4 linked regions of the Macaca fascicularis genome follow. The main gene of each other region encodes a partner of the protein of the gene in region 2 in a complex. Links are inferred from orthologs where the notes say so. Each region holds a gene or a part of one and is shown on either strand. Other genes may lie near its edges.

Region 1 (7,802 bases), on a different chromosome or scaffold from region 2:
GAAGAGGAATTAGCGTGTTAATGAACAAAGATTAAGGAAGGTAATACTAACAGAATAAAGGAAAATGTAGACCATAAGCATCTGGTCATTTATCATGTACAGGTATCATGTCAAGCATTATATATTAAATCTTCAAGAGGTAAGTACTTTTGTTTTAGTGTGTTTAACAATGTCAGTTTCGTGGGATGTAGTCTCTGTTCCTGGACTTTCTCTTACATTATGGTAACAGAAAAACAAAGACTGGAGCACGGTTTACAGAGAAATACAAAACACATACAAACATCATAATAAAATAGCCATTTATATCACTATTAGAGAAATATTTTAGAGAAAACATACTTTCACCAGTGGCCTCAAATGCCATCATCCACTTATGTTCTTCAACTATCAACTTTGTTTTTCTAAGAGATGGGATCTTGCTCTGTTGCCAAAGCTGGAGTGCAGAGATGTGATCATAGCTGCAGCCCCGAACTCCCAGACTCAAGTGATCCTACATTCAAGTGATCCTCCCAAACAGCTGGGACTACAGACTTGGACCACCATTCCCAGACAAATTTTTTATTTTTGTAGAGATGGGGTTTTGCTATGTTGCCCAGGCTGCTCTCAAACTCCTGGGCTGAAGCAATCCTGCCATCTCAGCCCCCTGAGTTGCTAGGATTACAGGCATGAGGCACTACACCCAGCAACTGTCAACTTGTAATACAAAAATACCTTCAAGCTGATAATCAAGAACATTTAGTGACTTTAAAAAGCTGACAGAGTATTTCCATGCTACACAAAACAGTTCTATACACAGCTTTATAGTTTTAAAGTTCTTTGCTGGCACTTGACTTCATAGTTAACACAATGACTACTGATATCAACGAAATTCTGTTTTTAGCTTATATATATTTTCAAAATCAGTATTACCTCACAAAACAGTAAAGAAATATCACTTCTGCTGAAGAATCCTCTAAGATGAACACCAAAACTGTGCAGCTAAAACATATTGAGAATCACATACATTTTTAAGGCAATAGATAAAAATTTATACAATCCAGTGAAATTTATACATGTCCAGCGAAAAAAGGATTATTCCTCTGATTAAATGAAGCATGTATCAGGTTTAGATCAACAATACAAATCTACAAAGCAAGTTACTTCTTTTTTAAAGTTTTTTGATGATTTGGTGACACAACCAGAATATAATTTTTTAGATGAAAATTGGTCGCTTTGCAAATCTGCATCCTAAATTCCAAAATTAAAACGAAACTTCTTTTCAAACAGCAGAATCCTGGTTTGTTGTTTTTACTGTCAATGAGCTTATAGCTATTCTCTGTATTATTATAAATGAAATCACCATTCAGTCACCCTAACACACATATACTTTTTTTTGACACGGAGTCTTGCTTTGTCACCCAGGCTGGAGTGCAGTGGCCCAATCTCGGTTCTCTCTAGCCTCTGACTCCCGGGTTCCAGCAATTCTCCTGCCTTGGCCTCCTGGGTAGCTGGGATTACAGGCACACGACACCAGGCCCAGCTAATTTTTGTATGTTTAGTAGAGATGGGGTTTCACCATGTTGGCCAGGCTGGTTTTGAACTCGTGACCTCAGGTGATCCACCTGCCTCGGCCTCCCAAAGTGCTGGGATTACAGACGTGAGCCACCACGCCCGGCCTGCATTTTTTTCTTCATAGAAGAAAACAAAAGTAAAACTTCCCAAATTATGTTTAACTTATAACACATTTTGCAAAGACCCCTTAGGTTAACCATTTTGGAAATCTACATTGTTCCGAAGAAAAAGATAAGCTTTCAAAACACTATCTAGCAATTCCTAATCATTTTTCTATCATAAACATTAAAATTCAAAAGTTACTGCCACAGTGCTTGTGGCAGTAAACAGAATGTAAAATTTATCAAAAGACTAAATTAGTGTCATGAAACATAAACATACTAAATAATCAAATAAATACTGGACCCTTAGCACAGAAAATTATTAAAAGGTTGATCTGAGTGTTAACATTTGTAATATTAAATTACCTTCGTATTTCAAATATTACTTTTTCTAAACCAAACCGGCAGCTAATCAACTTTTCCTTTCCTTTAGGAACAAAAAGGATATTTAAGATATTTTCCAAAACAGTAAAAACAACTTAGTGTTTCAATTCAGTTACAACAAACCCTGCTTATCCTGTGCATTTCACTGAGGCGCTACACGCACCCAAAAATCATCATCAGAAAGAGAACTTGAACTTCCTGACTCAGAGTCTGGCTCACTGAATCCACCTAAGTCCCATTCAGTGCTAGACTCACTTGGTATTTCTTCTTCTTCAGTGAGAAAACTCTGACCAGGTTCAAGGCAGGAAGGATAAACACGAGCAGAGAGGCAAAAAAAGTTAGAATCAAACTGCAAGAGGCCTAATGTGGTACCTATATTAATCCATTGGTCTCCCCTAATATCATATTCATACACAGTCACCCGGTTCTTTTTCCATTGTGGGGTGCGAGAGGTGATGAGCAACAATTTTTGGCCATGCTTGATAATCCGGTAGTTGTTGGTCTCTGAGACCAAGGGAATATTATTCATTTGCCTCCATTCTGCCCTAACTGGGTTGTAGACCTTCATGACTGGGATGTCACAGATACAGTAGATCTCCTCATTGAAGACGCACGCTTCCTGAAAGTCATTGCGCTTCAGAGAAACGCACTTCAACCACATATTATGGCTAGGATCATAACAGAACATGCGCTTACTGTTGAGAGCATAGAGATAGTCCCGAATTACCATTAGGTCAAAGGATAAAAAAGAATGGGGCAGTGGAGCCACCAATGCCCACTGGTTTCTCTTAACATTGTAGCATTCCACTTCCTTCAACTTAACTCCAGTAATAGGGTCTCGCCCCCCCAAAATGTAGATGTAGCCATTGAGATATGCCACATCCATGCCCTCACGACACAGCAAGCGATCTGCAAGTTGCTGCCAACTGTTCTGAGCTGGTTTATACACCCAGAGGTCTGTCCTGGGCTGGGCAGCTAGATAGATGTCATGGTCAGGAGAGATACAGACAGCTAAGGTGGTGACAGTCCTAGTGTGAGCCAGACAGGTCAAAGGTGACGGCACTTTGTAAAGGTCCCCCGAGTATGGATCACAGCAGAGAAAGGGATCTCTGGGGTGTCCAAAGAAGATCACCATCTCCTTGGCACACATACCCAGTCTCTGGGGTGGATTTTCTGCTGCAGATACAAGAGAGTTGCTGCTGCTACTGCTGCTGCTGCTGCTGTTTGGCACTGGCACCAGAGACTTGTACAACAGGTCACCATAGCGCATCTGCAGGGCCCCTTCAATAACGTCCAGGCAGTACTTCTTCACGATGGGCTTGGTCAGCAGCCCTTCTAAGTAGTCCTGATCTTCTTCAGTGAAGTGCATCCAGCGCACGCACTTGAAGACTTCCGCAGCACTGGGACCCCGCTCCTTGGGAGCAGCCTCCAGCCACTGCACTGCCACGTGGCACACTGTCTGCTCACTCTCCACGTCCAGACTATCCAAGCGCAGGACAGCCAGCAGCTGGGCCAGGGTCAGATCTGCTAGAGTCTCCTCCCGAATTGAACCCATGTGGCTGAGCTGCTTGAAGTTCTGAGCTATATAGGACTGGGCCTGGGATCGCAGCTTGCGATGGCCAAAGGCGTCTGCAAACTTGAGGATGGCGGTGCAGTTGGTCAGGTCAAGACGTCGGGCTAAGAAGGAGGCACAGGCTTCCCGCACATACTCCAGTTGCAGCATGTCGGAGGCCGCGTACAGGCGCTCCACGTTGGCCTCGCTGAGAGACACACGACCCGTGTAGCAGTAGTCGACCAACACCTCGAAGGACTCAGCGTCCACATCGTGCATGGTCACGCTAGTCTGCTGGCTCTCGTACATGCCACCTGTGAACATGCTCTTGAAGTAGGGACACGCGGCGGCCAGCACATTGCGGTTGCAGGGGAAGAGGCGACCCGTGCCAGGCCCGCTGCCAGGCGTCACCACCTCGATGGTCACATCACACAGCTGCCGCGCATCGTAGAAGGACTTGAGCTGTGCCAGCAGGGCTGCAGAATGGGCCGTGTCCTTTAATTCCTCTGGACCCGTGAAAAAGGCCGAAACCGTGGGTTTGTGAATCTTCTTGGGCCGCTTCCCACCACGGGGACTGGCGAGGCGGCGAGAGCGCGGGGCGTCTTCCCGGGACTGCATGGTGGAGATGGCGACGGGCGCTGATGGCGAGAAAGGCTGCAGGACCCGGCTCTGGCTCCTCCTCAACCTTCCCTCGCTGACGCTAAGATAGCAGCGTCTCCCAAGAGACCGCAGCACGAGCCCATTTACTGAATTCAGCCCTACCCTGCGGAGCCGCCTCCCTTTATCGTTTAGACAGTAGCTGACTCACCCTCTCTCACTCCCGCGTCCTTTCTCCGCGTCTGCTCGCCTTCACAGGACCCGCTGGCTTGGAGCCGTAGAAGCCGCTACTGCCGCGTGGGCGACAATACTAGGGCCCAGGAGAACTACCGCTCCCAGGTTGCCTTTCGCGCCCCGAAGGCTGCTGGGCCTCTCGGACTCCCAGGCCGATACCGAGGGAAAGAATCCGCTTTGCATGTTGGGAGTAGTAGTTTGTGTAATATCGCGATCCTTCTCTGGTGTTCCTTGTTTTTTAACTGACGACACTCGAGAGCGCCAGTTTTCCTAGATTCGATTTTGTGGTTTGGAACTTTGGTTTTGGAATCCACAGTAGTCGCCTCGTTCTAGTATGTATTGTTCGACTTGTCTCTTTGAATTGTTTCTTCTTTTGTAAAATGTGAACAGTAGTATTTCATAGGATTGTGTGAAGATTAAATGAGTTGGTTATAGGACGCTGTTAATATTTGTTGGTTTGTAGAATAATTACTCAGTTCTTAGAATATAAAGGTTCGACAAGTTTTCTTCTAGCCTTTATATATATAGAAAAAAAAGGAAGCATCACTAATTTGAAATTATGAGCCTGTAGGAAAACAAAAAACAGCCCCCGAAAACAGAAAACCTTGCAAATTGCAGCAGAGATCCCTTTTTAGGGGTGTGTGTGTGTGTGTGTGTGTGTGTGTGTGTGTGTAAATTAGATTTTATTTTTAGGTTTACAGACAAATTGAGCAGCAGGGACAGGGAACTTCCATATATCTCTCCCCACTTCACAGTTCCCTTATTATTATTAACACCTTGTATTAGTGTATGCATCCAGTAGAAGTGAATTTTTTTTATTTTTATTTTTTACTCACTGTGCCTCTCCCTGATACCAAAAATTAACTCAGGGTTTGTAGGATTGGTTGGCTGTTGCTGGAATTAGATCCCTGGTTTTTTCACAATTGCCTGTCCTTACTTGCCATGACTAAAAGGAAACCACCTCCAATCACCTTACTTTGAGACTTTCCTTCCATATCTGCATTTCAAAATCTGAAGTCCTCTCTAGCCACTTTTCCCACTTGGTCTGTCCAATATTCAGTACCCCTTTCCCTTTTTTACATAAAAGAAGAGACATGCTTTAGGGGTCCTCACCCCAAAACACAAGGGAAGCCAGAGGCCTGGTTGGTAATTTAGCATCCTTTTAGACCCAGAGGCTCAAGCATTTCTCCCCTTGCTTGTATGAAGTTGCTGCTCCATCAGAACTGACTTTATTTTTAGTCATTCACTCAACCTTTACTTACCCATGTAGTTCAGACATTAGAAGTCACTGAGAACACCTAACACGTTTCCACTTTGGACTCACCTCCTGTGAAACCCTGCCACTGTCTTCCTCTCACATCACTGTCCACTGTAGTCAAAACAATCAGGCCACTTTTCTTCCCATTCCCTCTGAAGGACAACCTTGTGACTATATCACCGTCACACAGTCATTCACATTTCTTCACTCTGACATCACCAGAACTCCTCTCAGAGACCTTGATATCACCTTCTTTGTAGATGGTTCTTACTTCAGGAGTACAAATGGGGAATTTTAAGCAGGATACACTATTGCAGATTTTCAACAGCCTGTTAAGTTGAAATCTCCACCTAAGTTAACGTGGCCCAAATCATTGAATTCTTAAGCACTCACCCAAACTTGCATGTTAGCACAAGATAAGGGAACTAACATTTATACAGACAGCCAGTTTACTTTTGGAATTGTACATGATTTTGGTATGCTATGGAAAGAAAGAGGTTTATGACAACTGAGGAGTACCAATCAGAACCCAACTCGCTAACCTATTTACATCTTTTTTTTTTTTTTTTTTTTTTTTGAGATGGAGTCTCGCTCTTGTTGCCCAGGCTGGAGTGCAGTGGCTCGATCTTGGCTCACTGCAACCTCTGCCTCCCGGGTTCAAGCAATTCTCCTGCCTTAGCCTCCTGAGTAGCTGGGATTACGGGTGCCCACCAACATGCCCGGCTAATTTTTTTTTTTTTGTACTTCTGGTTGAGATGGGGTTTCGCCATGTTGGCCAGGCTGGTCTCAAACTCCTGACCTCAGGTAATCCACCCGCCTCGGCCTCCCAAAGTGCTGGGATTACAAGCGTGAGCCACCGCACCCGGCCCTCCTATTTAAGTCTTTACAGCTATCCAGAAATTAGCTGTTCTCAAAAATCAAAGCTCACACTAGTGGCTAGACTAACAAAGCTAAAGGAAACTTAACTGGCTGAAAATATGCTAAGGTTTCTGCTTCCCAAGAAGACATCCCCTGAATCACATGTATACTTCTCCTTGCTTAACCTACTCTAAAGATAGAAACTCTTAAGAAACTTAAGATATAACAGCTGCTAGCACCTGAGGCTGAAAAAGCAAAAAAGCAACAAGCTGGATGTTTTATCTACTCAGATGGGCTTTGGAGACACCTAGACAACTGTTTGATTTCTCTCGGTCCCTCACCTAAAATTTATTCTGCAGCCTCCATGAGGTTACACATTATGGCAAAGAAAATCTGAAGGATCTCCACAAATATTGTTCGAGATGCCCTAATATTGAGCCGTTAACTTGAACTTGCCCCATCTGCCAGAAACACAATCCTAGTCAACATGTAAAGTGGGACAAGGATGAGAGTCAACTCTCTCTAGTCCTTGTTTTCATTGGAAAATATATAAACTCGCAAAGTCTCATGGGTACAAAAATGTCCTAACCATAGTTGGCATGTTTTCAGCATGGTTAAAAGCTTTTCTCTGTAAACAAGCTACCATCACCACTGAAGTTAAGCTGAGACCAGAAAGAATTTTCCCCTCTTAGGAATCTCTTTGTTTTTTTAATAACAGTGGAGGAACTCACTTCAGTAGTAAGGTTATTCAGGATCTTCAACAAGTACTTCCAATGTTACAAAAACTGCAGTCTTCTTACCAGTCCTCTGGAAAAATGAAACAAGCAGACCAATGGTACTCTTATATTCAAACTAGCCAAACTCCTTAAGGAACTCAACCTGCCCAGAGTCTCATGCCTTATGGCCCTTGACTCTTCTATTATCCCCAATTTCTCGGCATGTACTGAATGAAACTTAATTCCAAACATGATTAATGAGTCTCTTGAAATCTCCAAACTGAATGACTCCACTTTCTCAGGATCAAGTGTAGGAAAAAATGTAGGAGTACTTTTATCTCTAATGTTAACCATTTTCTCTTCCACCACTTCCCAACCAGCCTTACAAACTGCATTCAGTTCCACACAAAGACTCTGCTCTCCTGAGGGATCCACCCAGTTGTTAATCCCAGTAATTGCTAATAATTACTATACCTCAGACCCCACCTGTTTCCCCATAGGATACCACTTTTCATGCCTTCCCCCAAGGGCATTTGGACTGATTGTCTGGG
Region 2 (7,306 bases):
CGGTTCTTTCGGTCCTTCTTTCGAGGAGGATGGGAGAGGTCCCCCTGGGAAAGGGGCACGGGGGTAAGAGCAGCAGGGGGCCGGGAGGTATGTGTCAGGGATGTGGGGGACAAAGGAGATGCCACCTTGGGCCCATCGAGATCAAAGAGAGAGTCCTTGAGCTTCATCTTCTCAAGCAAGGTAGCACTGTCGGGGGCCTGCAGACGAGAGAAAGTGGACCTTGGGGGTCCTGGCTGGGTGGGACCTGCTTGGGCTGCCCTTCTCTTGGATGACTTTGCTTTCTTAACAAAAGTCTGGATGGTTCGAAGATCTGAGGGGGCCGAGTCCCAGCCATCACTGTCGGCCGCACTCTCTCCTCGCAATGGAGAGCTGGAGCCAGAGGCGGGCCAGTCACTTTCCTTAAAAGGGGAAAGAGACCAGGGTCAGCAGAACCCCAGTGTCATCTCAGCCCCTCCACAAACCCAGCTTGAAAAGGAGTGACTAGATTTACCCCAAAATGTCCTCTACCTCAACCACTAAATCCCACTGTACTCCCAAAACTTCTCCCCACCCCAATTCCCATCAGCATGTCCTCGTGACCACTCCGTGTTACCTCCACCTTCGAGTCTTGATACCTCACCGCTGCCCCGCCCAGGGCCTGTGGAACACGGTGTCCCCCAGACCAGAGCCTTATGTCCTTAGCTCTTTTTCTGTGTAGCCTAATTTGTTACCATTTTCATCTCCCTAAAATTTATCCATAAACACCTTCTATTCACAGCACCTCAAGACTGCCAAAATCTCGACCAGCAACTCCAGAACCCCCTTGCTTTTCACTGCTGTTCAAGCTAGCTAGCCCTGCCATCCACTCCCTGCATACCAGCTTTCCTACCACAGTCCTAAGAATCTCCAACTTCCCTCTAGTCTTACATATTTCTAGGGGCTTCCTCCTATAAAGCAGTACAGTTCTATGTGAACAACAGCCACTCTCTAGTCCCACGACACGAGCCTCAAGTCAGTAATTCTCTTGCCCCTACCTCTTTGCTAGGAGGGATGTAACCAGCATATGCCAAAACAAAACTGCAGAATTTGTTGAAATCCTCAATTGTTCTCCGCCGTTTCTCTGGTGGCTGAAAGGAAGGAGACATGGATCACATGGAAAGCCACACAGTTTAAGAAGGGCATTCTCAGAGACACAGTCCCTAAGTGAGGCGTCTAGAAAAGGGGGGCGGGGGCGTTGTCAGGCAGGGCTACTAGGCTGCAAAGATCAAGGAAATCTCACCTGAGTCTCTGGCTTCAGGGTCGGAGGTGGATCTGGAAAAGCAATAAAAGCTGAGTCAAGACACTACGAAACAGTCTGTGTAAAATTCCTCCTCTAAACCCTGTTGTTCCTAAGTGAACCCCCGGCTCTCCCAGGTCCCTCTGCCAGGCCAGCAGGCCCCCAGCTGTGTTGGATCCGCCCCTGCTCCCCCTTCCGCCCCGCGAGGGGCGGAGCCTGGGCGCGGCGCCCTCTGAGGCCTCGCTATAGCGCTCCCCTTCCCCCAACCGGAGGCCCGGCGCCCCGCCCCCCCCAACTCACGGTCTCTCTCGACTCCAGTCTACTCGGATCCCTCAGCGCCCCACCCCACCTTACCGCTCCCGGGTCCGCGTCCGGGCCGCCGCCCGCCGCCCCCGTCCTTCACATGCGTCCAGAGCCCCGAGTTCCTACCCGACCGCGCTCCACCGCCTCAGGCCCTCCGAGACCGCACACGCCGCCCGCCGGCCCCCAGGGTCCAGGATGACCACGCCGAACCGCTCCCCGCCCTCCGGCCCCTTCTACTCGAGCACGCGGCCCGGCGCGCCCCTCACCCCCACCCCAAACACACACAGGCACACGCATCCAACGCTACTTCACGGCCGGGACAGACCCGGGAGCTCTAACCCGGACGCGGCCCCACCTGCCCCCCCCATACCGCGCTCCCCACAATTTCGCCGTCCCTCCGCCCCCATCCGGGGCTTTGGCCCCTCCTCGTTTCGAGCTCCCCGGGCTCCCCGCCGGGCCCCCCGGCCCTGTTCCGAGCCCTCTCCGGCCGCCGCCGCCCCCCCTCCGCCCCCGTACTCACCACCCAGTCACTAGGCTATGGACCCCTCAACTCCAGCCCCTTCCCCCCAACCAGCCACTCTCTCTCCACAGCAGCCACCTTTGCTGCCACCGATGCCCCCCTCACCCTCAGCAACTCCCAGGCTCTAACCCTCGCGGACCAACCCTAACCCCCCCGCAAGTCGCCGGTCTTAACCCCCCCACCCCGCCCCACCACCCCCTACAACTACCCAGCTCGCCTCGCTTCCTGGCTCGCTCTCTCCACAACTACCCCCCGGTACAGGTCCGTCTGCCGTAGACAATACCCAGACCCCCTCTTCTCCCCACAACTACCTGCCCACCCCTCCGACAATCACCGGGCATTCTCCGGCGGCAACTATTCGGAGCTCCCGTACCACCGCCACAAACTACCCCACCTCGGCGAACTACCGGGCCCCTCACTCAGCCTCTTCTACGTCCTCCCTCCTGAGCAACTCCCGGCCACTGGATTTCCCCAACCTTCCAGTTCCAGGGCCCCAATCTGCCGGTGGCCCTTTCGGGCCCTAACCCCCGAGGCTCCGGATTTCAAGCTCCTATCCCCCGCACCCCCCCACCGTCTGATCTCCAACTACCCCAGCCCAGTCTCCCACTCCTCTTTCTCCAAGGTCTCTCAACTCGTCGCTCTCCCACCTCCAGGGCCAGCCTCCCGACCCCCTCCCCGAACTCCCCCGCTGGGCTTCGGGGCTCGACCTCCAAGTTTGCCAATTGATTCCTCGTCCGCCCCCCCGCCGGCTCAGCGCTCCGCGCCGGTCGAAAGCTCACCTTCGGGACTGGGTTCCGCCATGGCTTCCAGCATCGCCCCCTCCCCTCCTCCCGGTCCGGCGCCCCCCTCCCCGGAGCCGGGGATCCCGGTGCCGCCTCTAGTGCTCGATGCTCCCACTGCTTCGCTCCACAGAAGTGTCCGCCTCAGCCCGGTTGAGACTCGAGTCCGCTAGCCGCTGCCGCCACCTCCCTCTACCACTGCCTCCCGCACTCCCGGACCGGGCCCCCTCCCCCCGCGCCGCCGGCCGCCTGCTCCCTCCTCCTCCTCCTCCTCCTCTCTCCTCCCTCCCTCCTCTTCTCTCCCTCCTCCCTCCGCCGGCGCCGAGGCGCAGTGCACCAAGGGTTTTGTAGTCCGTCCGGGGACAGCGGAAAAGGGACCGCATGAGCCTCCGGAACTTTGATTCCCAGAAAGCCACAGGCTGGCGCAGGCGCCCCAAGCCGCTCCCCTCCCCCGGGGAGTGGCGGGGAGACCGGGAGCCAGAGGAGAGAGCGGAAGTGCGCGCGCAGGCCCCTGGGAGATGTAGGCTGGGCGGGACCAAGAAAGAAGAGGAAGAAGGGATTAGAACTCTCGGCCACCATACTGTCTCGTTCTGCAGCTTCTTTCTCCCCCGAGGGACCGCCCCACTTCCGGCCTGCCGGAGAAATGATTGCTGGGAGATGAAGTATTCCTGGCGATAATGGCTCCCCCTCCCAGTCTTCTCCCTCCCTGATTCCACTCTGCTGAATCCCACACACCGGCAAAAGTCTAGCCAAGTGACATGCAACTGAGAACAGCCGTTTTACTAGCTTACACACATGAAAATATCTTCCTTAATTAGAATGTTCTAGCAAATGTGGATGTTCACCTAAAGCAGGTACTTTGGAACTTTCTCCACAGGAACCCACAGTAAAAAAAAAACAAAAGTTTTACGTGAGCATTTTTAACATTCAGTTTCACATACATGTCATAAAACTAAAGTTTCATTAAATGATCCTCAGTATTCCATTCCATCACAAAAAAGCACCCTCTTTTTGCAGACAGGGAAAAGCCCAACATGGACAGAATAAACCAAAATATACTTCTATTCCTCCAGCTTGTACCCAATACTCCTTTCCCCACCACTGAAACCCACTGACACCTTGGAAAGACTAAAAATCAGCGGGACGAGGGGAGCAACACAAGGCAAAATTCAGTTCAGCTTGGTGGTTTCCTCTTTATTGATGTGCCTCCTACCTTTCCCCCCACAATTTCAGTCCCTTCCAACTACCCCCAAAAAAGAAGGTAGTGAAAGGAAGGGATTGCTGGGGTTCTGAGCCCCTTGGGCAGTCAGAAAGGGAACAGAAACCAAAACAATCACTGGATGTGAAGAGACTGACAATCAAGAAGTCTAAAGCAGGATGGGAAAGGCGGGCAGAGAAAGGGGAAGAAAGGAGAAAGGAGAGGTACAAGATGCCAACTCCACCATTACCCCTCCGAAAAGAGGCTGGAGAGAAAACTTCAAACATTAAGAAGTGCCCGTCCTGAATAAGGGAGGTGGTGTTTGAGCTTGAAGGAGGAGGAGGTCAAGAAAAGGGGGCCACCTCTCTCTTTGTAGAATGAGACCCCCCTCCAGCTCAGGGACAGCAGCTTCACAGACCGTAGACACTCTCGTCACTGTAGGCAATGTAGAGAAAGAAGTCTTCTTCATGGTGTTCCTGGGATGAAGGCAGAAAACTGTTCAGCAACTGGGCTCCAGTTCCTTAAACCAACCACGACCCAGACACTTTCTTCTAGAACCAGAAACCAGTGCCCGACTCCTTCACTGACTCCAAGGCCTAGCACACGAGCAATATAATCTCTGCAGTCCTGGGCAAAAAAGGCCTCAAACTGTTTTCTGCTGCTTTGGAATGGGGAGGAAGACTGGGAAGAGTCCCGAACAGTTTCTCTAGTTCACTGTTCTCTTTCCTTCTCTCTACTCCTACTGTTCTGTCCCAACCCCCAAACCACGGCTATTATGAAATGTTAAGGCAAGCGAGGAAGCTAGTCCAAAATACTGATGTAACAACACTTTCTTCCCCTCACGCTCTTCCAAGATTCCTCTCCAAAGCCTCCACCACTTCCCGGTCACCATACCTGGTAGAGCTGACCCATTGTGGCACTGGTGGGTGGAATGACATTGTTGACAAAGAAAAACAAGGCATCCTCAGCTCGGAGATGAATTCGCTTCCGGATCAAGAAGTAGAACTGACCAACTGCAAAAGATACAAGGTGCAAGAAAGTCACAGAGGTCAAAAATGCCCTCAAAAGAACAGCTGCTAGGTGGAGCCTTCTCCCACAGAGACTGCACTCCCACCCACGGGAAGCAAGCCTGAGCCTTGGGTCAGGTTCCCACCTGTGAGATCAGAAGGCACCAGGTATTTCTTTTTGTCCAGGTCTCCTATCCGAGCTTTGGGAGCCTTTTCTACTATCACCTGATAAAGAGACGAAAATTAGCAGACAGAAGGAATGCAGCGCCAAAGCTGCACCTGTCAGGAACTCAAGTAACAATATTCCTAGTACCTAAATCTACCCCAGACTCATCTCTTTGTCTTTGTACACGCGGTGCAGCACTGAGTCCCAGAGATCCTGACCTCACTGACTGGAGCTTATTTAAATATCCAGGATCCATCCACCGAATAGGGCGTCACCATAAACAACTATCTTAATCAGACGGAGATGACTTGTCTGGGTCCACTAGTGATTCAATCTCGCAACCTTAGCTAGTTGGGGGTATGGCCATTTGAGGCTCAGGCTGTCAAACTCTCTAAGGCCTCCACTCACACAAATGCTAAGGTTTCTCTCTCCTGTCCACATCCCTCTCAACCCCACGTCCACCACTACCCCACTCCTTTCATCCTCGGTCCCAAGGACAGCAGTTTCAGGCTCGCTCCCAACCCCAACACAGCCAGCAGCCTGATCCCTGCGCTGCCCGTCCCAGATCCAAGGCCAGGCTGTGGCGTCAGCGTAAGCGTCCCGCGCCCTCGGCCCTGGCTTCTGTCCTCACCGGCACCCGGTCCGGGTATTTCTTTCGGATTTTCTCGCCCTCAGAGCGGCGCTTCTCGAACGGATGCTCTTCTTTGTACACGAACTTCATCCTCCCGGGAACCGGGCTGGACCGGGCTGGGCTGAGGGAACCCGGGGGGGCCGGGACGGGGGGCGGCGGCGACGGCGGCGACGCGCGGGCGGATTCAGCGGAGCGATCCACGAATTTGCGCCACTTCCCTATTCACCAACCCCGCCCCCGACTATCGGGGACGGCCCCCCCACTAAGATACGCCACTACCTCAGCGGTGCTAACGCTGCTAGCGTAGCACCACCCACTGACCGGCCCCCTCACGCCATTAGCGTAATCGCTTTGGAATCAATTTGTGGGCTACGCAGGCGACGTAGCAAAGACGGTTGGCTTTTGGTCATGGAAAATAACTCTAAATCTGTTCCCCAACCTTCCCCTCAACGAAGCTGGGGCTGAAGAGGAGTAAGATATGGTAATCATCATACGAGACTTGCTTCTCCAAGTTCCTTTCGGAAACAACGTAGAGGAACAGCAGAGACAATTACAAGGTTAGCTATTCACGAACCGTATTGCTACGCTGAAGGCGGCCGTTGACACCAAAACAAAGTAGTACCCAAGTGGCGGAGATGATCTCCAGAAGTAAGAGGTCAAAAAGAAAACAGATGTTTGGAGAGATGTACAGAACGCTTAAGTGCCAAGAATGAGTAGACCAATAGGGACTGGAGAGGAGGTTGGAGGGGTAGGGACTACGCCAGCGCGGAGGAACACCGCACGGTTTGAGTGAAATCATGTGATCTCAAAGAGGGCGGAGCGTCACGTGGCGGGTGTGCGAAGTAGGGCCGGCTTGGGAGGGCGCCGGGGAGGCGGGGCCGGCTGGGCGACGGCGGCGAGTGGGGACCTACGCCTCCCCGGACTGCGGAGGTCGGGGCGCCAGCCGCCTGGGGCCAGCGCCCGCTTAACGTGTCCACGTCAGTACCCCGGACGAAGCCCGACGTTTCTCCAGCTCTACGCCCTTTGGCCGTCCAGGTTTCTCCTTACTTGCTTTCTAGCCTGCTGCTCCGAAGGTATCTTTCCACTCCCCACCAGCGCGCACATCCTCGGCCCTTCCCGCCAAAGCATCTGGTGGCCACATTCATTATTGTATCCCCATACTCAACACCACCTTTCCCCCTGCCCCTTGAGTCCAACAGCAGTCTCTTCCCTCTCTGCTCGGGGGACAGGGTGCATGTAAACAAAGTTCCCTCCCTTCACTTCCCAAAACCCCAGAGAAGGACCTAGGGCCGTTTTGGTTTCAAAGTTATAATGCATGGTTTAAAAGAGAAGAAAGGAAAAAAAGACACAAAGCTGGTTACAGGTCTGAGGGAGTCTAAGGAGAGAAAAATAGAAGGAGAGGAAAGGGGGGACAAATTTAGGGAAAATCCAGTGGCCCAAAATCCCA
Region 3 (7,571 bases), on a different chromosome or scaffold from region 2:
AAGTTGATCTCCTGGAGGTAGAAAGTAGAGCGATGGGAAGGGGCAGGAGGGATGAAGAGAAGTCGGTAAATGGGTACAAACATACAGTTAGATAGAAGGAATAAATTTTTCATGTTTAATAACACAGTGGGTACCTATAGTTAATAATTTATTGCGTATTTCAAAATAGCTAGAAGAGAAGATCTGAAGTGCTTCTAACACAAAAAAATAATAAATGTTTGAGGTGATATATATCCCAAATACCCTGATTTGATCATTACACATGGTATGCATGTATCAAAATATCACATGTATCCTATAAGTATGTAAAATTATTGTGTATTAATTGAAAAAATTTACATAAAAATAAAAAATATCTAGAAATAGAATTATTAGGCAGACAGATTTTTCAAAGTTTTTTTTAATATATATTGCCATATCCCACAAAAGGTTATGCCTACTATGTTCCTACCAGAAACATAACACGATGTCCATTTATCCATATTCCAACCAATGTACTTAGTATTATCATTCTTAGATATGCCATTGGTGAGGCCGGGCGCGGTGGCTCAAGCCTGTAATCCCAGCACTTTGGGAGGCCAAGACAGGCGGATCACGAGGTCAGGAGATCGAGACCATTCTGGCTGACATGGTGAAACCCCATCTCTACTAAAAATACAAAAAAACTGGCCGGGCGTGGTGGCGGTGCCTGTAGTCCCAGCTACTCGGGAGGCTGAGGCAGGAGAATGGCATGAGCTCGGGAGGTGGAGCCTGCAGTGAGCCTAGATCCGGCCACTGCACTCCAGCCTGGGCGACAGAGCGAGACTCCGTCTCAAAAAAAAAAAAAGATATGCCATTGGTGAAAAAAATGATGTCTCATTATTGCTTTACTTTGCACTCCTTAAATTACTAACGGGATGGATTTATCAGCCATTTGCATTTCTTTTTTCTTTTTTTTTTTTTTTGGCCCAGGCTGGAGTGAAGTGGTGTGATCTCAGCTCACTGCAACCTCCACTCCCCGGGTTTAAGTGATTCTCCTACCTCAGCCTCCCAAGTAACTGGGATTACAGGAACGCACCACCACGCCCTGCTAATTTTTGTATTTTTAGTAGAGATGGGGTTTCACCATGTTGGCCAGGCTGGTCTCGAACTCCTGACCTCAGGTGATTGACCTGCCTTGGCCTCCCAAAGTACTAGGATTATAAGCATGAGGCACCGTGCCCTGCTGCATTTCTTCTTTTTTTAATTTTTAATTTTTGTGGGTATATATTAGTTGTAGGTATATATTTATGGGATATATGAGTTATTTTGATACAGGCATACAATGTGTAATAATCACATTAGGGTAAATGAGGTATCCATCACCTCAAGCATTTATTCTTTGTGATACAAACAATCCAGTTATACTCCTAGTTATTTTAAAATGTACAATTGAATTATTATAGTCACCCTGTTCTGCTATCAAGTACTAGATTTTATTCATTCTTTCTCACTATTTTTTTGTAACCATTGCATTTCTTACTTCCATGAATTGCCTGTTCATGTCATACATATCTGTTTTACTACAGAGGATGTCTTTCTCTTATTCTCTCATAAAAGGTTATTAAATGTTAAATATATCAGTTACTTGTCTAACATTAACATTTCCCAATCTATCACACTGCCTCTTTTGTTTTCTATACTGCAAAGAGATATCTTTATATCTACCATCATTCCTATCAAAATGTTTTTTGAACACACCTGTTGTTCAATAGATGCTGCCTGAACTAAAATATTTCTTCACCATTGCTAATCCTATCACTCTAGTCAAATAGCACAATATGCATAGCACATGATAATGGAGGAGCTTCAATTAGTCTACCTTTAGACTCTTTCCCTCCAAAATGGAATAGAAACTATAAAAACATAAACTGTATTATAAATGAATAGCATAACCACACTGAAAGAAGTGAGGAAGAAAAATAATCTAAGCCACTTTAGAAAACAATATTTTAACTGAATACTGTAAGACTAGAGACAAAAGGAACTACACTGTCCTCTATTTAGTAAATGTGTTTCTCACAGGAATATAGGTCAGAAATCCTGAAATTACTTTATGTGTATACTAGGACTGAAAAAATAAGAAAACATTTTGTAGACTACAAGAGTCAGATTTCTCACTGTCAGATAAAGAAGTTAAAAATAAGGGACAAAACTAGAATGAACCCTGTGGTGTTAGACTAGAAGCAAAGCTACTGGGATGAACTTTTGTTTTTAAAAAATATATGGATAAATAAATACAGAAATAAATACAGATCTTTGTGTATACATGGGTATGCATATGTATAGACTGGTGTCTTCTGTGGGGCCCTGGAAGTAATGTTACCCCAGAGCAATGAACATCCCTAGAGCACAGATCTTTGTGTTTAAATACTATTCTCCAAAAAAAGAAACTATGGGTCTTTGGAGAAGTGGCTGATTATCAGGGCTGAGGCACAGAAAACATATGATGAGCCTGGGGCATCATATGGTACCAGAAAATTAGGAAGTTCCAAAAAAGAAAAAAAAAAAGGATGGAAGCATGCTGAAAAGCTACAGAAAGCAACCTAAAAAAAAAAAAAAAAAAAAAAAAAAAAAAAAAAAAACTCCAATGATCAAAGCTGAACAATTTCACACATAAAATAACACAAGTGTAAGATAAAAACCAATAGAAAAACATCTGAGTCCACATGGATACAAATAAATAACGGAATACAAATAAACAAATGGGAAAAGCGCAGCTCATCCTTACAGAATAATTTCAATTAATAAATAAAGAAATGAGGAAAGTAGAAAATCATCATTAGAACACCATAGTCATAATTGCTGAAGGCAAGATCCACCAATGGATGTGAAATTTAGCAAGGGAAAGTCTGAGGAGAAACAGGATATGCGTACAGTTTAAAAGCTCCCCCAAGATGTCAATTAATTATAAGGAGAAAAAATAAGACCTTTATATTGGAGAATCCCAGTAGACACTCTCTTACCAAGTGATCAAGAGTAACCTCACAAGCAATAAGTCATATCTATCAGCTACGCTCATATGATGAACTGAGAAGGGCACACACACTTTTGTGTTCTTAACAAAAAAGCATAGCCTTAATCTACTCATGAGAGAACACTGGACAAACCCCATTTGAGGGGCACTCTACAAAATAACTGACCAGCATTCTTCAAAAGCGTAAAGATCAGAAAGAGTATAAAGACTGAAAAAGACTATCAATGTAAAGACAGGAAAAGACTGAGGAACTGTCACAGACTGGAGAAGACCAAGGACCCAAGACAACTAACTGCAATGTCGGGTCTTAGAGTAGATCCTGGAATAGAAAGAGGACATTAATACAGGAAAAAAAAAAAATCACAAGTCAGTAATTCGGTTAATAGTATTATACTAACTTCCTGCTTTTGATAATTGCGCTATGGTATCTAAAAAATTATTAATGGAAGCAATAGGGAACTCTGTACTACTTTTGAAACTTTTCTGTAATTGTAAAATTATTTCAAAATAAAAAGGTTTTTTATGTATAAGAAGATGTTTCACGTAAGACAGGTAGAAACATTTAGAAGTCAAAGAACTGCAATGGTATTCACTGCATTAATACTTGGAGAGAGGGGTGCCAGGACTGTGCCAGGTGCTTTACAAACTTTATCATGTAGTGCTTACAACTAATATGAGATGGGTACCATAATACTTATGTTTCCCAGTAAGTTACTTGGGAGGTTATTAATAAGTGAAAGACCCCATTTCTCAGAAAACCCAGCCCCCAAAAGTGACGAACACCTTCCATCGGCTCAGAGGTCCCACTTTTCGGGATACTGGTGGCGCCCGATTTCTTCGGGCCCGCCGCTTTGGGTTTCTGAGTTATGGAAGAGACAGTGAATTTGGAGAGAAAAGTCAATGTGAGGTCTCCTCTCTGAACCTCAGATAGCTAAAAGGAGGGAGCCAAGGGGTGGGACCTTCTGCGAACCACCTCTGGGTCTGGTGAGCAGGGGCTTTCGGCCTCTCGCTCCCTGTCCACTCCCCACTACCCTCGAGCGTCGCGTCATTCCTCGCAGTGTCACCCACAGCACACCTGGGCCACACACAACAAACGCCCCCACCAGCGAACGGATGCGCGGGTCTGTCCCGGAACCCAGACGCCGGCGACCCTGGCGACCCGAGGCCTACAGCGCGCCAGAGACAGGACGCGCGTCGGAAACTTTTCCACCCTGCGACCCCGGAAGGCCGTCCCGCTCGCATCGTCTGCGGCCTCCCTATACCAGTTTCTAATAAAGCTTCCAAAAACGAAACCGAGAGAGGCTCCGCCACTTCTGAAAGACAGGAGCAGCCACCATGGGGCTCGCACTTCTGATCCAATGCCCCACTTGCCTCCCAGCGCCTCTTGCGCGCGCCACAGGGCGCCCGGCCCACCAAGCCTATCAGGGCCCGACGCCCCCAGAGGCGGCCTCCAGAGAGCCCCTTACCTCCCGCCGTGGCGCTCGAGGCCGGTCGGTGCGCACGGCGCAGGCGCAGGAGCGACGGGGCGGGGCATCGCGAGGGGTGGGCTGGGCTAGGCCCCGCCCCCTCCCCGTCCCGCGAGGCAGCAGGGTGGGGTGCGGGGGACGCGCAGGTGAGTACAAATGCGGACGCCGCTCTGAACAGCGAAAGCCTTTTTCAAAAGTGATTTTGATTTACATTATGGGGTTGTGACTCGAGCCAAGAGGAGAGAGACGCACAAACCCTCTTCAGGTCTGCTTGTTGTGTTCAAGACAATTCATGCTTGTATGGCCGACTGCATTTTGCAGTTTTCCTGTCTATTTTCCTCTGTTCTTCCTAGAATTTTATTTGCGGGTTGGGCATGTATTCTTAGCTCTGTTTTGAAACTGAAGCTCAGAAAGGTTTTGCCTCCCCATCCCATCCCCAAAAACCCTGTGAAGTGGACAGGGCAGAAGTGCCATCTTAATTGCAACAGGTGCAAAAATTAAAGCTCAGTCAGTTGTGGTTTCCTCCAAAAACTGGTGGAGGGCTTAAGGCAAACGTCTTTATCCCGATTTTATAGATTATGACTCTGGGGTTTAACAAAGAGTTTTAAGTGACTGATTCCAGTTTAGCCAGCTTATGACAGAGCTGGAACTCCAACTGTGTGTCCTAATTTCCTTCCCAAGTTATTCCAGTTAGACCAGCTGCTACCACATGAACAAGCAGGTGACCGGCTTTGAAGCCTTGTCCAAGTCACAGGTCTTCCTCTCTTCATGGCCTAACTTCCAGATCCAGCCGTTTTTAAAAGATGTCTGTAAATATTCAGATGACGTGCTTAGAATGTATTCACTAATGGTATTGTCTCAGAAGTGATCAGGATGTTCAAACCACAGTTAAGGAAACTCAGTTCTTAGGGTCTTCCAGTAGAATTGGAGGTAGAAATTGTGGACCAGGGAAGATTAGGGGCCCGTAGATCCTTTAAAAAGCCTTGAAAGACAATTTCTAAAACAAAGCACCAAATCTACCAAGCAATTTGGATTTTCTTTGGGAACATAATGTATGCTGATGTTTGTTTTACAATGAGCCCCAAAATGTGTTTATCAAATTTTGATTCTAAGGAGAAAAATTAAAGTATTAGTCAATACCATGAGAAAATGATGTTTATGCAAGGATCAGTGAAATAAGACCTTCTGAAATGAAAGATAATTTGTGTTAAGTTCTGAAGAACTTCCTCAGGTACAAAATCGGGAGGTGTGGTACTCAAAGATTCTAAATTTGGACCTGGACTTCTAAGTTGCTATGTGTATGTTTGCTATAAGTTAGATGTGTCAAAGTAGTAGGATAAAACTTTTTTTTTTTTTTTTTTGGAACAGAGGCTTGCTCTGTCGCCCAGACTGGAGTGCAGTGGCGTGATCTCAGCTCACTGCAACCTCCACCTCCCAGATTCAAGCGATTCTGCTGCGTCAGCCTCCTGAGTAGCTGGGACTACGGGCGCCTGCCACCATGCCCGGCTAATTTTTTGTATTTTTAATAGAGACAGAGTTTCACCATGTTAGCCAGGATGGTCTCAATCTCCTGACCTCGTGATCCACCCACCTCGGCCTCCCAAAGTCCTGGGATGACAGATGTGAGCCACCGTGCCTGGCCAAAACTTTTCAATCTAACTGTTGGTTAGCTTGATGTATAATCTTTAAATATTCAAACTTACGGTGTATAGACCTCTTTCTGTAATCTGGGTCATCAAGTTGTTAGGGGCAGGCCTGCTACTACTAGCCAACATTTTCCTGAAGTCCTAACTGAACCCAGCAAGTCCAAACAAAACAAAACATTAAGTATATATGTTGGAAAGAAAATAAAAAATAAATTCTTTTAGAGTATTATGATTGATTGCTTTCTTGGAAAATCCATGGAATAAATTGAAACTAATTCAATAAGGTGGCTATAAAATACCTCTCCTAAACAACAATCATCAATTTTAAAATGCAGTGGGAAGAAGACTGGGTGTGATGGCTCATGCCTATAATCTCAGCACTTTGGGAGGCTGATGAGGGAGGATTGCTTGAGGCTAGAAATTCAAGACCAACCTGGGCAAAATAGTAAGACCCCATTTCTAAAAAAGAAAAGAAAAGGTAGCTGGGTATGGTGGCATGTACCTATAGTCTCAGCTACTCAGGAGGCTGAGACAGGAGGACCAGTTGAGCCCAGGAGTTTGAGGCTGCAATGAGCTATGATTCCACCACTGTACTCCAGCCTGGACAAAAGACTGACACCCTGTCTCTTAAAAAAAAAATTGAAATAGGAGAAATATTGCATTCAAAAATAACAAAATTCAAGTTTGTGTTTATAAGGAATTACAAGACCTATTTGAAGAATTGAGAAAGCTAGATGAGGGATAGGGGTGGAAGGAAAGATCACAAAGGGGCATGAGGAAACTTTGGGGGTGATAAAAATGTTCATTTTCTTGATTGTTGTAATGGTTGCATGGATGTTTATATGTCAAAACTTACCAAATTGTACACTGTAAATACGTTTATGTATAAGTGCTTATTCTGTGTCAATTATACCTAAATAAAGCCGTTTAAAAAGGGAGGGGGGAAGAAGTAGCTTTTTATTTGATTGTATATGATGTGTAAAGCACTTGGTTAGGCACTTTACATGCAGTATGTTATTTAATACTGATGACAACCCATGAAGTTGGTATTACAATCACCCCCATTGTACAAACTAAGAAATTGAGGCTTAGAGAGTAACTTGACCAAGGTCCAAGTCTCATATACTATATAACAGGAGTAAGACTCAGATCTTACCTAACAACAGTATTTATACTTTAACCTGACTTACATATTTCCATAAAGGATACAAATAAAGACTCGAATATATGGAAAAATAATACAGTCAATATTGTAAAGTTGTCCATTTCCACCAAACTAATTTAAAAATTTAGCAAAATCCCATTGTGATTCTTTCTTTCTTTCTTTTTCTTTCTTTCTTTCCTTTCTTTCTTTTCTTTCTTTCCTTCTTTTTTCTTTTCTTTCTTTTTTCCTTCCTTCCTTCCTTACTTTCCTTTCCTTTCCTTTCTTTTCCTTTCCTTTCTTTTTGTATTTCCTTCCTTCCT
Region 4 (7,739 bases), on a different chromosome or scaffold from region 2:
CCCATGTCAGCACTATTTTTCCTATTATCTCAACTCAAAACCTTAGAATTCACCTTTTTGGCTTTCATTATCGTGTTGAGCTTCAACATGGATTATCTCATTGAACGGGATACATAATTTCCTATTTTACAGATGGAAATACTGATGTTAGAATTCATACAACTTGGCCGGGCACAGTGGCTCACGCCTGTAATTCCAGCACTTTGGGAGGCCAAGGTGGGCAGATCACGAGGTCAGGAGATTGAGACCAGCCTGGCCAATATGGTGAAACCCCGTGTCTACTAAAAACACAAAAATTAGCCAGGCATGGTGGCACGTGCCTGTAGTCCCAGCTACTTGGGAGGCTGAGGCAGAAGAATCACTTGAACCTGGGATGCGGAGGTTGCAGTGAGCCAGGATCACACTACACTCCAGCCTGGGCAAGAGACCAAGACTCCATCTCAAAAAAACAACAACAAAAAAAGCCGGGCGTAGTGGCTCACACCTGTAATCCCAGCACTTTGGGAGGCCAAGGCGGGCGGCTCACCTGAGGTCAGGAGTTTAAGATCAGATTGGCCAACAAGGTGAAACCCATCTCTACTAAAAATACAAAAATTAGCTGGGCATGGTGGTGAGCACCTGTAATCCCAGCTACCCAGGAGGCTGAGACAAGATAATCGCTTGAACCTGGGAGGCGGAGGGTGCAGTGAGCCAAGATCGTGCCATTGCACTCTAGCCTCAGCAACAAGAGCAAAATTCTGTCTCAAAAAAAAAAAAAAAAAAAAAAAAAAGAATTCATATAGCTTATAATTTGCAGAGCTAGAGACAGTCAAACCTTTTCTGACATTCCAGACGCTGTGCTCTTAATCAACAAACAACATTGTCTCATCTTGGAATCCTTCACCTGTCTATCCTGTAAGTAACCTCCTGTAAGTAACCAGATCCTATGCTTTCTTCTCTTCCCCATTTATTCAACAGTAACTACACACCTACTCTATGCCAGACATAAAAGAATTCAGGAATGAATAAAACAGAGTCCTTCAAGGAGCTCATACGGTAGTGGAAAAGGCCAGGTGTGGTAGCTTATGCCTATAATCCCAGCACTTTGGGAGGCCAAGGTGGGCGAATCACTTAAGCCCAGGAGTTTGAGACCAGCCTAGGCAACAAGGTGAAACCCCATCTCTTCAAAAAATACAAAATAACAGTAATAAGTGGGGTTGGTGGTACATGCCTGTAGTCCCAGCTACCAGCTACTTGGGAGGCTAAGGAGGGAGGATCTCCTGAGCCCAAGAGGTCATGGCTGCAGTGAGCCGTGATCACTGCACTCCAGCCTGTCAGAGTGAGACCCTGTCTCTTAAAAAAAAAAAAAAAAAAAAAAAAAAGAGAGAGAGAGAGAGAGGCTGGGCGCGGTAGCTCATACCTATAATCCCAGCACTTTGGGAAGCAGAGGTAGGCGGATCACCTGAAGTCGGGAGTTCGAGACCAGCCTGACCAACACGGAGAAACCCCATCTCTACTAAAAATACAAAATCAGCCGGGCATGGTGGTGCATGCCTGTAATCCCAGCTGCCCAAGAGGCTGAGGCAGAAGAATCGCTTGAACCCAGGAGGCAGAGGTTATGGTGAGCCGAGATCGTGCCATTGCACTCCAGCCAGGGCAACAAGGGCGAAACTCCGTCTCAAAAAAAAAAAAAAAAGAGAGAGAGAGAGAAAATGTGGAAAAACCGGATATAAACAAGTAATTATGAGATGAGAAATGCTCCTAATAGGGAGTAGAGGAAGAAGGGCCTAATACTGCCTCAGGTCTTCAGTTACCCAGAAGAAAACAGGAACCAAATGGCTTCGATTTAGTTCAACAAAAAAATAATATGCAGAGGTAACAAATGCAAAGTCTTACAATCTCAGACATGAATTACTACTATCTTTATTCCCATTCCCCAAGTAGGAAACCTGGGCAAATTAACTTCTCTAAATTTCAGTTCCCTCATCTGCAAAAGGGGGAAAATAACACCATCTATCACATAGAAATAAAAGTGAGGACTAAATGAGAAAAGGTATATAAAATGTTACCATTTTTTAGAAACCTCAACTCTATTCATAAAACACCCATTCATTATGCCATTCCCCATGCCAACATTTCTATAGGATAACATCAAAACTTTAGCCTTGGCCAGCTGCCATTGCTCACGCCTGAAATCTCAGCACTCCGGGAGGCCAAGTGAGACTGCCTGAGTCCAGGAGTTCCAGACCAGCCTGGGCGACATAGCAAGACCCTGTCTCTAAACAAAAAGCAAAACCAAAAACGAAAAAAAACTTTAGCATTTAAAGGACACAAAGGGGACTTCTGGGGTGCTGCTACTGTTGCTTGAAGTAGGTGCTGGCTACATGAGTGAATACAGTTTGTAAAAATTCATTGAACTCTACACTTAATATGTATTGTATGTATATTGTACTTCAGTTTAAAATAAAATTTTATTTATTTTTTGTTTAATTCATCAAACTCTGGCCTAAACCTAGCTTCCACCCCATTACTCCCCTACTTTGGACATTTCACATCTTTGAACGTTTCTTCATCCCATTTACTTTCTGCTACCTGGAACTACCCTTTTCTCTAATCTCCCTTCCAAAACCCTACATCCTTCAAGAGTCAGCTCAAATCCCACATTCTTAGGAAAACTGGAAAGAGAGGGGATAGTTTATTCAGGGTCAAAATACTAAGGAAGGAACTGGGTGGACACAGAAAGTACACTTTTCATAAATTATTATAACGATTTGTCTCCCTCACTAGCCTGTTCAGTTATTTCAGCCCAACTTCTGTTTCTCGCTGTAGGCGTTAGTATAAAACAATGTTTGATGAGGAACTTAGTAAGGAACAGTAACAAAAACTGCCCTGCAAGTCCCAGACTGAGAAGAGACGTCTAAAGCACATGCACACTCTCCTCGCTTAAGCAAAATTGGTCCCCTCATCCCGGACTCCCTCACACATCACCTCTCACCCCAGGGAGCACCCCCTCGCGATCCCGCCCCAAATCCCAAACTCCTCTGCAAACCGCGCTGCACAAGCACCTCCTCCTCTTATTCCAACCCTTCCACAGACCACACTCCGTCGGCTCAGGGCACTGAATGGGACACGCCCCCTCAGATCCCCACCACTAGGTGGTCCGGCCCCCAGGGCCCAAACCTCACGACACCATCTCCACGCCCGCTCCCCTCACCAGCCCCGCCCTCAGGCCCCGCCCTCCCCGAGTACCCCACGAGAGGGTCAGTTCTCTAGGAACCGCGCGCTGGCGGTCACTGCCCCCGCCTCCCATTCACAGAGGCCGCGGGAGGGCAGGCGGGGCCTGACCGTCTGCTCGAGCCAGTGACCTCACCTCTCTTCCAAGAGCTCAGCGGGGACACCACCTCCACCCGCTCGGAAATGAACTCGGCCAGACTGGAGCGGAACAAGGCCGCCCGCACTGTCACAGCCACCACCAGCACCAGGGCCAAGGGAGCCGCCATGATAACTGGGGCGGGCGCGCGGGCGATGAGGGAAGGCGAGGTGGAAGAGCCTCGCGACCTGCGCGCCACTCTCTGTAGTTCCGCGCGCGACCGCGCGCCGCCGCTGCCACCGGAGCGGCCAGACGTGGAGACTACAACTCCCAGAAAGCCTTACGGCGAGGCGGGCCGGAGCGACGGAAAGCGGGTGCCTCAAGCTGCGTGCAGAGGGTGGGGCGAAACCTTCTCGGATCGCAGGTGCGTTGTGAAACGGCGTCGCTGTAGCGGGGCTGAAACGCTGCTGAAAGTAGAAGCGGAAGTAGTCGACTTCCCGGGATTGTGAGATACTTTTAAACAGACGTTAATTTCACTCTTGCGTGTATGTTTTCAATGCCAAAATTTTTATTTTTATTTTTATTTTTTTTGAGACTGAGTCTCGCTCTGTTGTCCAGGCTGGAGTGCAGTGGCGTGATCTCGGCTCACTGCAACCTCCACCTCCTAAATAGCTGGGATTACAGGCGCCCACCACCACGCGCGGTTAGTTTTTTTTCTTTTTTTTTTTGAGTAGATATGGGGTTTCATCATGTTGGCCAGGCTGATCTCGAACTCCTGACCTCAGGGGATCCGCCCGCCTCGGCCTCCCAAAATGCTGGGATTACAGGCGTGAGCCACCGCGCCGGCCTCTCTCTCTCTTTTTTTATTTTTTATTTTTTAAGAGACAGGGTCTCACTCTGACAGGCTGGAGTGCCACGATCATAGCTCACTGCAGCCATGACCTCTCGGGCTCAGGAGATCCTCCCTCCTCAGCCTCCCAAGTAGCTGGGACTACAGGCATGTACCACCAACCCCACTTCTTCTTCTTCTTCTTCCTATTATTATTATTATTATTTTGTATTTTTACTAGAGGTGGGGTTTCACCATGTTGGCCAGGCTGGTCTGGAACTCCTGACCTCAGATGATCTGTCCGTCTTGGCCTCCCAATATGCTGGGATTACAGGCGTGAGCCACCGCGCCCGGCCCAAAATGTTTATCTTTTATGTTTGGTGGTTTTTTGCTTTTGAGACAGGGTCTCAGTCGCCCAGGCTGGGGTGCAGTGGCTCGATCTCGGCTCACTGCATCCTGGACCTCCCAGGCTCCAGAGTAGCTGGGACCACAGGTACGCACCACCATGCTCGGCTAAGTTTTTGTACTTTACTTAGTAGAGACGGGGTTTTGCCGTGTTGCCCAGGCTGGTAACTTTTTATGTTTTTAAAGAGTGTTAAATGTGTATTTTTTTTTTTCCTGGCAGTTGTTTGTTAAATGCCAACTATTTTCCAGGCACTATGTTAGGTTCTGCGGATACGTTTGGGGGTAGTAGACTGATTTATTAGCTCTGCAACCTTCAACAAGTCGCTTAACCCTTCTGTGCTGAAAAAGGTGCTGATTGTAGGCTCACTAGGGACGGTTGAGGAAGGCTTAGAATCTTTTTTTTTGGAAACGGAGTTTCACTCTTGTTGCCCAGGTTGGAGTGCAATGGCACGATCTCAGCTCACTGCAACCTCCGCTTCCCAGGTTCAAGCTATTCTCCTGCGTCAACCTCCCAAGTAGCTGAGATTACAGGCAAGCGCCACCACCCCTGGCTAATTTTTTGTAATTTTAATAGAGATAGGGTTTTTCTCCATGTTGGTCAGGCTGGTCTCGAACTCCCGACTTCAGGCGATCCGCCTGCCTAGGCCTCCCAAAGTGCTGGGATTACAGGCTTGTGTTATTGTGCCCGGCCAGAAGGCTTAGAAATTTTGCCAGTCACTTTTAAACACAACCATTTTTGAAAATTAACATATATAAACCTACAGTTAAATAACTTATATTGAAAACAAGGGAATACATATTCAACACTTCACTTTCTAATTTTTTTACCACACTTTTGTTTTATATGTGCTTTTGACATTATTTACCACCACTGTATCAGTACGGCAAATACTATATCTTTCTCTTCCCAAATGGTGGTGTTCAGTTTCCTCCGGTTGATAGATTGAAAATCCCTCCTGATGCAAGTGTTTACACCACAGGAATCAGCAAACACTAGAAATCAGGGGTTTGGGGTTTGGAGAGCCCATTAATAAGCATTAAGCAGCACACTTCATTAATTAATGTATAGTAAGTGCTTAAATATTAGCAATAATAATATTAAATGTGCAAGGAAATTTCATATTTATGAAGAAAATGAAACAGGCTGGGCGTGGTGGCTCATGCCTGTAATCCCAGCACTTTGGAAGGCTGAGGTGGCCGGATGACTTGAGGTCAGGAGTTCGAAACCAGCCTGCCCAACATGGTGAAACCCCGTCTGTACTAAAATTACAAAAATTAACCAGGCATGGTGGCCTGTGCCTATAGTCCCAGCTACTCAGGAGGCTGAGGCAAGAGAATCAATTGAACCTGGGAGGCGGAGGCTATAGTGAGCCAAGATAGTGCCATTGTACTCCAGCCTGGGTGACAGAGCCAGACTCTGTCGAAGGAAAGAAGGAAAGGAGGAAGGGAGGGAGTGAGGGAGGGAGGGGAACAGTGTATGATTGAGAATAACTACTGGTGTAATAATAAGGGTGGTAACACTAGACAAAGTGATCAGGGAAGACTCTACAAAGAGATGATTTGAGCTGAGACCTAAAGGATGAGAAATTGATCAGAGCTTCCAAGCAGAAGGAACGGACTGAGTGGAGAGAGGGCAAGGTATGTGTGAGGATCAGAAAGAAAACAAGTATGACTCAAGTGGAGAGAATAGAAGAAGCTGTGGATGGAAAGACGAGGGGCAATCAGATAGGGACCTATTGGCCATGGTTGAGAATTTGGGCTTTATTCAAAGTGCAATCCATATGCCACTGGAGAATTTTAAACCAGAAATGATGTGAACAGGTATACATTTTTCAAACATCTCTGTGTTCCCACAAGCCCTCTATTGGGTGTTGGGGAATATTGCAGAGACAAAATGGCACCATCTGCCTTTGCCCTTATGTAACTTGGAAAGCAGTTGAAGAGATAAAATAGTTAAATAATAACGTAAGTAAAATCACAAACCATAACTCCAGCCTGGGTGACAGCGAGACTCTGTCTCAAAAAAAAAAAAAAATCACAAACCATAATGAGAGAAAGAAAAGGGGGAATCGGCCAGGCGCAGTGGCTCACGCCTATAATCCCAGCACTTTGGGAGGCCATGGCCGGAGGATCGCTTGAGTCCAGGAGTTTGAGATCAGCCTGGGTGAAACCTGTCTCTACAAAAAACATAAGAATTACCCAGGCATGGTAGTGCACGCCTGTAGTCTCAGCTACTGGGAAGGCTAAGGTGGGAGAATCACTTGAGCCTGGGAGGTTGAAGCTGCAGTGAGCCAAGATCACACTGCTGCCTTCCGGCCTGGATGACAGAGCAAGACCTTGTCTCAAAAAAAAAAAGAAAAAGAAAAAAAATGGCCAGCACTTTGGGAGGCCGAGGCAGGCAGATCACCTGAGGTGAGGAGTTCGAGACCAGCCTGGCCAACATGGTGAAACCCCATCTCTACTAAAAATACAAAAAATTTAGCTGGGTGAGGTGGCAGGCACCTGTAATCCCAGCTACTTGGGAGGCTGAGACAGGAGAATCACTTGAACCCGAGGATCAGAGGTCGCAGTGAGCCGAGATCACACCACTGCACTCCAGCCGGGGCAACAGAGCAAGACTGTCTCAAAAAAAAAAAAAGAAAGAAAAAGAAAAAAAGGGTAGGCCGGGCACGGTGGCTCAAGCCTGTAATCCCAGCACTTTGGGAGGCCGAGACGGGCGGATCACAAGGTCAGGAGATCGAGACCATCCTGGCTAACATGGTGAAACCCCGTCTCTACTAAAAATACAAAAAAACCAGCCGGGCGAGGTGGCGGGCGCCTGTAGTCCCAACTACTCGGGAGGCTGAGGCAGGAGAATGGCGTGAACCCGGGAGGCGGAGCTTGCAGTGAGCTGAGATCCGACCACTGCACTCCAGCCTGGGCGACAGAGCGAGACTCCGTCTCAAAAAAAAAAAAAAAAAAAAAAAAAGAAAAAAAGGGGAATGGGATTCTAAAAGAATGCAAAAATCAGCCCTGGGGCTGATAGCTTTCGGACCAGTGGAAGGGGCAGAGTCTCCTTTGGGGGAGGGGATCATGAAGAAATTAGAGGGGCACTCATCCTTTGAGCCCCTGCTCTGTGCCAAGCAGTGTACCATATGCTTAACACACATGGGCTTATTTAGTCTGCACAGCCTTCCTTCTTAAATATGTAGGTTTTGGTATCTCCTTTTACATAAA

The links.
Region 1: the proteins of GABARAP (region 2) and KBTBD6 are in contact, whole or in part, in a crystal structure (PDB 4XC2), measured with the Homo sapiens proteins. The link is inferred for Macaca fascicularis from reciprocal best matches to the Homo sapiens genes GABARAP and KBTBD6. Residues at the interface, in NP_009209.1 of Homo sapiens: Tyr5, Glu8, His9, Glu17, Ile21, Tyr25, Arg28, Pro30, Val31, Ile32, Leu44, Asp45, Lys46, Lys47, Lys48, Tyr49, Leu50, Val51, Pro52, Leu55, Leu63, Arg67, Phe104; in NP_690867.3 of Homo sapiens: Ser663, Asp664, Asp665, Asp666, Phe667, Trp668, Val669, Arg670, Val671, Ala672, Pro673.
Region 3: the proteins of GABARAP (region 2) and STX17 are in contact, whole or in part, in a crystal structure (PDB 7BV4), measured with the Homo sapiens proteins. The link is inferred for Macaca fascicularis from reciprocal best matches to the Homo sapiens genes GABARAP and STX17. Residues at the interface, in NP_009209.1 of Homo sapiens: Tyr5, His9, Lys13, Glu17, Lys20, Ile21, Arg28, Pro30, Lys46, Lys47, Lys48, Tyr49, Leu50, Pro52, Leu55, Gln59, Phe60, Phe62, Leu63, Lys66, Arg67, Phe104; in NP_060389.2 of Homo sapiens: Ala169, Glu170, Ser171, Trp172, Glu173, Thr174, Leu175, Glu176, Asp178, Leu179, Glu181, Leu182.
Region 4: the proteins of GABARAP (region 2) and TP53INP2 are in contact, whole or in part, in a crystal structure (PDB 8T31), measured with the Homo sapiens proteins. The link is inferred for Macaca fascicularis from reciprocal best matches to the Homo sapiens genes GABARAP and TP53INP2. Residues at the interface, in NP_009209.1 of Homo sapiens: Tyr5, Glu17, Ile21, Tyr25, Arg28, Pro30, Val31, Ile32, Lys46, Lys48, Tyr49, Leu50, Val51, Pro52, Asp54, Leu55, Gln59, Leu63, Arg67, Phe104; in NP_001316358.1 of Homo sapiens: Glu31, Val32, Asp33, Gly34, Trp35, Leu36, Ile37, Ile38, Asp39, Leu40, Pro41.

Annotation. Positions count from the first base shown.
Region 1 is NC_088391.1:20,476,326-20,484,127, forward strand, and holds the start of KBTBD6 (kelch repeat and BTB domain-containing protein 6), read right to left. Parts: upstream 4,498-7,802; 5' UTR 4,207-4,497; coding exon 2,179-4,206; 3' UTR 1-2,178. UniProt on the Homo sapiens protein: As part of the CUL3(KBTBD6/7) E3 ubiquitin ligase complex functions as a substrate adapter for the RAC1 guanine exchange factor (GEF) TIAM1, mediating its 'Lys-48' ubiquitination and proteasomal degradation.
Region 2 is NC_088390.1:7,285,738-7,293,043, forward strand, and holds GABARAP (gamma-aminobutyric acid receptor-associated protein), read right to left. Parts: upstream 6,069-7,306; 5' UTR 5,950-6,068; coding exon 5,860-5,949; intron 5,288-5,859; coding exon 5,209-5,287; intron 5,069-5,208; coding exon 4,950-5,068; intron 4,532-4,949; coding exon 4,466-4,531; 3' UTR 4,031-4,465; downstream 1-4,030. Other genes in the region: PHF23 (PHD finger protein 23), read right to left, coding at 1-398, 1,014-1,106, 1,259-1,290, 2,858-2,891. UniProt on the Homo sapiens protein: Ubiquitin-like modifier that plays a role in intracellular transport of GABA(A) receptors and its interaction with the cytoskeleton.
Region 3 is NC_088389.1:58,211,829-58,219,399, forward strand, and holds the start of STX17 (syntaxin-17), read right to left. Parts: upstream 4,498-7,571; 5' UTR 4,462-4,497; intron 1-4,461. UniProt on the Homo sapiens protein: SNAREs, soluble N-ethylmaleimide-sensitive factor-attachment protein receptors, are essential proteins for fusion of cellular membranes.
Region 4 is NC_088384.1:90,708,516-90,716,254, forward strand, and holds the start of TP53INP2 (tumor protein p53-inducible nuclear protein 2), read left to right. Parts: upstream 1-3,242; 5' UTR 3,243-3,349; coding exon of another isoform or gene 3,350-3,479; 5' UTR 3,480-3,713; intron 3,714-7,739. Other genes in the region: PIGU (phosphatidylinositol glycan anchor biosynthesis class U protein), read right to left, coding at 3,350-3,479. UniProt on the Homo sapiens protein: Dual regulator of transcription and autophagy. Positively regulates autophagy and is required for autophagosome formation and processing.